Linked DNA regions of Yarrowia lipolytica. The protein of the gene in region 2 interacts with the protein of the main gene of each other region in a biochemical or structural test. Links are inferred from orthologs where the notes say so. Each region holds a gene or a part of one and is shown on either strand. Other genes may lie near its edges.

Region 1 (3,063 bases), about 1.6 Mb from region 2:
CCCAAGGAGGTGGTGCAGCTGGTGCTGGCGAAAATCTCCCCTGGAGAGTCCAAGAAGGCCTCTCTAATGTACCAGGATCTGTCGATCCACTACATAACCACACAGGCGACTTCCGATACGCCCGAGGGCGTGACGTTTATCCTCATCACCAAGGAGTCGTGCGGCCGAAAGGCCCCCTTCCTGTGTCTGCTGGAGCTGGAGAAGAAGTTCAACCAGCAGTACAGCTTGCAGACAATCGGAAGCGCCTCCAAGGATAGCCTCAACAAGTTCGAGGGCGAAATGGTGACGCTTGTCAACTCGGGCAAATACGAAGACGTGGCCAAGGTGGCCCAGTCGGAGATCAACAAGGTCAGAGATATCATGGTGGAGAACGTGGAGCAGATTCTGGAGCGAGGAGAACGAATATCGTTGCTGGTGAACCGAACCGACGAAATGACTAACAACGCCGTGGCGTTCCGCAAACGAAGCACCCAGGCCAAGAGAAACTTGTGGTGGAAGAACGTCAAAATGGGCGCTCTGTTGGGCACTGGAGTGGCGGGTCTTGTCTACGTAGCGATTGGCTCTGTTTGTGGCTTTGGTTTCCAGTGCGTTTAGACGTGCCGGACTCCTTCCAGCAGCGGCATTATATATATTGGTAGTGTTTATAGTGAATAGGTGGTTTCGAGATGAGAGGGCTAATAACCGAGCCCTCAGCCTTGTCCAGCTTATAACCGTAGCGGTTTACTACAGCTAGACATTCGTAATCCATAACATTTCATTACCAATGCACAATGTATCATGCGAACGCACTTTCCATCGTACAACTATTTCGTTCTCAGGGCGTCCAGTCTCTTCTGAAGAGCGTCAAACTCATCATCCTTCTTAACAGCGGGTCTGGGACGCGGTCGGGTGGGAGAGTCCTTCTGAAACGGCAGCTTGAGCTCGGGCTTGGGGTTAGATGATCTGGGGGCAGGAGGCGAGATGGCGATGGGCGACTTGGGAGGCTCCAGGGACTCGGACAAACGACGAACAGCCTCATTACCTGATGTTGCGGGCAGAGGTTCCTCAGGGAGCTTTTCCTTGAGTCCGCTGGAGGGTTCGTCATCATCGTCGTCGTCATCCCCACCATTCTCCTGTCGTTCCATCTCCTCAAGCTCCTCCTTGGTGTACAGTTCACTGAATGGAGCATTGTAGGCGCGGGCTATCTCTCTGAGATACAGGGTGATGAGCTCGGCGCTGGGGGGCTGTACGCTCAGCTTGGTCATGACCTTTTCGGGGATTTTCACGTCGGGGTTCTCCAGGGCCTCCTTCGCAAAGTCGCGGCCAAACTTGGTGACGAAAATGTCTCTGATAGTATGCAATTCTTTGATTTCCGTACGGGGAGCCGCATAGATGACGGTGCACACGGCCTCCTCCAGGCCAGGATCGCATTCCTTGGCGTCCAGCAGTCCGATTCGAGCCAGCAGCAGTTCACAGTACAATTCGAGAATCTCCAGCAGCTCGACGCTGATGTCGTTTCGAATGATGTTTTCCACGCGGATCCGGGCACTGGCCTCCTTGCCTGCTTCCAATAACCCTGCCATTTCTCGTCGTTGGGCTTTAGCTAGTGCCGTCTCCTTCTGTTGCACTAGTCGCAGACGGTTCACCGCCATTTTCAATTGCACCTTGAGTCGGGTCTGTGTTAGTCAGCTGCTTACGCGGTGGGTGGTCACGTGCGCCTCAGATACTGCTCACCTGAACGGATGCTGTTGCCATCTTGGTTGTAGTTGTTAGTGTCGCAAGTCGTTGATAAGATAACCGGGGTGTGGAGATGTATGTATGGTAGTGGCGATGGTGATGCAGATGGGAGGTGGCCTCGAATCTAATTTTTGGGTGGGGCGATGGATGGAGTGTCGGGTGGCGTAGACGAACAAGTGTGGCGAAGGAGCCGACCGTTCAAACCGCCTGAGCGGTTGTTTTGTGTGGGATTTACTTTCCGGGAGAGCGGCTATTTGACATTTGCCTGCCAAGAAAGTCTAGGGGTGGAGTCAACACTTGGTTCTACCAAGAAAGCCGTCTAACGATGGGTTATTACTTGGTTATATCAAGAAAGTCGTCTAGTATTGGGTTATTACTTGGAGGGTTCAACTAACTGGAGTTTGCATGAAGTTAGCCCGTGGGAATGGGGAGACTGAATTGAAAGAGAACAAGCGATGTACGGATTGTCCATGTCGAGATCATCAGGCCGACTAAATGAAACACCATTGACCCTCAAGCAGCCGAGGAGTGTGTACCAGTGATATGAGTTCACGAGTCTTACCACAGCCTTGTACCGTGTACGAGTATGTACGATACTAGGGCGGTAGAAGGGCGGTGGTTATGAGGTATTCACATGTCTCGGCAGCTCAATGGCAGTTTTATGGTGAATGGAATGGAACAGCGACTTCTTATCAATGTTCAGAATGTCGACACTTGAGAAAAATAGCCAATCAATCTCAATCCAGTTACTATACTGTCAGATCTGAGAAGAAGCATGCTTGTCCAAGCTACCACGTCCCCAACAACAGTACATACACAGTAATACAGTACCAGTACTCGAGGCAACTACAATAATTGCATTAATTGCACGAAGAAACTACATCAATTCACGATCAGCACTCGTTTGTACTCGTACTGACGTAGACAACTGTACTGTCTCGTATGACCGACAGACCCGACTCAGCATGTCAGACAGGGCATGAAAGGGTCTGCCACCACTAGATCGGGGCTCGGACAGTTCGAAATGACGAAAACCAAGTGATTTCAGGCGTGACAATCAGTTTCTCCCGTCAGATCCGCCCTCCATCTGTCTCTCCTACTTGTACTCGTCCTCATACTCGTCCTCATACTCGTCCTCATACTCGTTCTCATCCATCTCCAATCTTAGATCTTTCAACCTTGATCATGGTAACCTAATCAAGGGTTGGAACCAGCTTAGTCAAGAGTCCCGACGCTGACAAAGCACGTATATACACATACACACATAAAGGACCGGTGCAAAGTGCCCACGAGGATCTCCTCCTGTTCTGCTCACCTAACCCACCAGAGTCCCTGCCTCGCCCCTCG
Region 2 (3,346 bases):
AGCATTATCTCAACCGAGTCAACGGCAAAATCGCAGGTATCATCATTGCTGGAGACTACGAGGGAGCAGCTATCATCACATGGGAAGACATTGACCCAGTCAAGGCCCAGGAGGATCGAGATGCTGCCGATCGAGCAGCTGCCGAGGCAGCTGCGGCCTATGCAGCAGGTATCCCCCTTCCTTCGCCGCCTCTGTATCAGAAACTGGGAGATGCCGTGCCTCTTAACCCCAACCAAGTGGCGTATCTTGATAAGTTTGCCGTTCTGAAACGGTCCCAGGGCTCTTCGTCGGTAGCAGATGTGGTTTTCAAGGGTATGGTCATGTCTCAGTTCCCCAACGAGCTGCTGTGGCGATCTCGAAAGAACAACCCCGTGAACAAGTGGTACTTTGACCGGTCGAAGGGCAGTTTCAAGATCCCCGGTAGCGAGTGGTGCATGTTCTGGACGGGTCGAAAGACTCGAGAACAGTACCTTGAACGATTCGTCGACATTTGTACCAGAATCGAGCCTTCTTTGAGGGAGGAGTTATAGCCTGGCAAGGAATAGACATGTCTATAGAACATAAAGTAATGCAGCATTAATAATGAATTGAGTCTCCACGTACTACAAGTAGTAGATTACAAGTCGCACTAACACAATCTGGTCATATCATCTCATTAACTATCTACTTAATATATGCGTGACAAACGTTAGTTATTCGCTGCTCCGATGCTAATTACCCTCCTGGCCAAAATCGTTGGTGAAGTCTTCATGACGAGTAATGTCGTCGTTGTTGACGGTTGGTCGAGTGGACTTTACAGCCTTGATGAAGTCCTTGAGAGTCAGCTCGGGCTCCAGAACTGTTCCGTCCTCCAGTTCCATCCAGTTGAGCTCGGTTGCCTGGGGGTCTCCAGGAGAACAGGGGGTATACTTAGTCACGCCGTCGATCTCCACAGGTTTGAAATGCGTTGCTTCCTGGATTTTTCGGATTGGTTGCATCAGGGCGTCTCGGACAGACACTGCCACATCATGACCCGAGTATCCGTCGGTCATCTCAGCCAGAGTTCGGAAATCCTTCTGAGTCAGTGCACAAGGGGTGTTCCCGACGTTTATCTCAAACATACGGGCTCTGGCCTCGGCATCGGGTAGGGCAATATAGATTCGTCGCTCAAAACGTCGTCGAATAGCGGCATCCAGCTGCCAGGGAATGTTGGTGGCACCCAGAACGAGAACGCCACTAGCGTCGTTACCCACTCCATTCATCTGGACCAGCAGCTCTGTTTTGATTCGTCGTGACGCCTCACTCTCTCCCTCTCCTCGAGGTCCACACAGAGCGTCGACCTCATCGATGAAAATGATACTGGGCTTGTTCTCTCGGGCCATGGCAAACAATTGCTTCACCAGTCGTTCAGATTCACCCATCCACTTGGACACAAGGTCGGAGGATGAAACGGAAAAGAAGGTGGAGTTGGCTTCGGTCGCCACTGCCTTGGCCAGGTACGACTTTCCGGTACCGGGGGGTCCATACAGCAGAATACCAGACAAGGGCTTTCGCTTGCCAGTGAAGAGATAAGGGAATTTGACGGGCAAGATGACTGCCTCCTTTAGAGCTTGCTTGGCTGCCTCCAGACCAGCAATATCTTCCCATTTAACGTTGGGCTTTTCATTAAGGATGGCTCCAGCCAAAGCTCCTCGCAGCTTCTTGGTATCATTGTCGTCGTCTCCAGATCCGGCCCCGCCGTTGGCTCCTCCTCCCTGTTTTGCCGCTTGGGCTGCAGGCTTGCTTTTTTGCTTGTCGAGATGTTCCTTCAGCTGCTCTGCCCGAGAAAAATACTCTGTGATTCGCTGTCGCAGCAGCTCCTTGGACTTGGGGTTCTTCTCGTACTTGATTGCCTTGATGAAGTAGTCCAGTCCGTTGACATACAATTCGTGTGCCTCCTCGTACTTGCTTGCGTTGTCGGCCTCGATCGCCTTGCGCACAATTTCTAGCGCCTTGGATAAAAAGTCCACGGTAGCCATTTGTGTGGGTGGTTGTTGGGTTAATACCTCTCGATAAGTGCTGTAGGTGGTGGATGGACCTCAAGTTTGAGTTTGAAAATCTAGGTGGGAAGGCTGAGGTGTGGCGATAAGGTACGTCGTAAAGGGAGTAAACGTAACTAACCGGGTTGTTATGTATAAAATCCAATAGCTGGAAATCATATAAACACATTAGGACGTGTTAAACGCTTTCGGCGGCAATTTTTTTCATTCTTTGGATAGCAGTTATCACGGATTCCAAATTAATAAAAGTCCGCCATCATAGTATAGTGGTTAGTACACCACGTTGTGGCCGTGGAAACCTCAGTTCGATTCTGGGTGATGGCAATGCCAATATTTTTTGCGTAGTCGGCGTGCTGAATAAGCCACAAGTTGCTAGCAAGCTTTAACCGGTGCAGTTTATGCTCGTAGCTTGTTCAAACAAGCACGTTGCCTCGCCTCGGGAACCAAAACATCTCACAAGTTGCCTACCGTACGCACAACCAAGATAATATCTCACGTTTCGACAGGATTTAGGCCATTACAGTAGAGTCAATTGGGATGCGGAGCAAATACTGTACTTCTTCATACTGTATACAAAAGAAAGGATTTCATTAAACGCGACCCCGACTCTTACGGTCACTTGTCCGTGTAAATATATTGGTACATACTGTATTCAACTGTTCAATAAGTACCAGTACGTACCACTCCAGTAGTCATTTCGCCTTGCATTGCGATGCTATATTTGGAGTGTGGTGTTATTATGCGACAAACAATAAGAGATCTTGCATAACCCCTAAAATTATTGGGAGCGCCGTTGCCTGGCCAACCGTGCTTGCCAAAACAAGGTTGCGTATAAACAAACAGTCACCTCGCACTATACAGTACACCAGCACCATGTAGACCCAGCACCACCGACATGTTGGTACATAAGAGAAATATCGCCTCTTTGTACAGAGCGCACTAGCTACCGGTAACAACCAATTCGACTCTCAAATGTCGAACAAGCCTCGAGACCTGCCCGAGCCACCGTCGCCGGCGTTTGTCAGCCAGCGTCAGTCGCTCCACATTGATGCCAACCCCTTCTCCAACCCTGGCTCCCCTACTCGATCTCCTGAACGACAAGGCGCCTATGGATCTCCCTATGGCACTCCTCGAGCCGAATCTCCGACCCGTTTCGGCTCCCCTACTCGGTATGGAAGTGCTCATGGAGCCCGAGGAACCCCTCGAGCAGAGTGGACTCGTCGAGAGACACCTGTGAGTGAATTTGATCCCATTGTCATTGACGACGATGATGATGATGCGGTTCTGGCTCCTCCTCCTGTGTTCCCCACAGTCGATTCTCTACGACA

What was found.
Region 1: the proteins of YALI1_B21323g (region 2) and YALI1_B05438g form a complex in vitro, tested with the Saccharomyces cerevisiae proteins (2 studies listed by BioGRID). The link is inferred for Yarrowia lipolytica from reciprocal best matches to the Saccharomyces cerevisiae genes VPS4 and IST1.

What each region holds. Positions count from the first base shown.
Region 1 is NC_090771.1:542,231-545,293, forward strand, and holds YALI1_B05438g (uncharacterized protein), read right to left. Parts: upstream 1,735-3,063; coding exon 1,714-1,734; intron 1,656-1,713; coding exon 804-1,655; downstream 1-803. Other genes in the region: YALI1_B05420g (uncharacterized protein), read left to right, coding at 1-594. UniProt on the Saccharomyces cerevisiae protein: Involved in a late step in sorting of cargo proteins of the multivesicular body (MVB) for incorporation into intralumenal vesicles. The lumenal sequestrated membrane proteins are targeted into the vacuole after fusion of the endosome with the vacuole.
Region 2 is NC_090771.1:2,130,966-2,134,311, reverse strand, and holds YALI1_B21323g (uncharacterized protein), read right to left. Parts: upstream 1,998-3,346; coding exon 711-1,997; downstream 1-710. Other genes in the region: YALI1_B21356g (uncharacterized protein), read left to right, coding at 1-530; YALI1_B21313g (uncharacterized protein), read left to right, coding at 2,991-3,346. UniProt on the Saccharomyces cerevisiae protein: Involved in the transport of biosynthetic membrane proteins from the prevacuolar/endosomal compartment to the vacuole. Required for multivesicular body (MVB) protein sorting.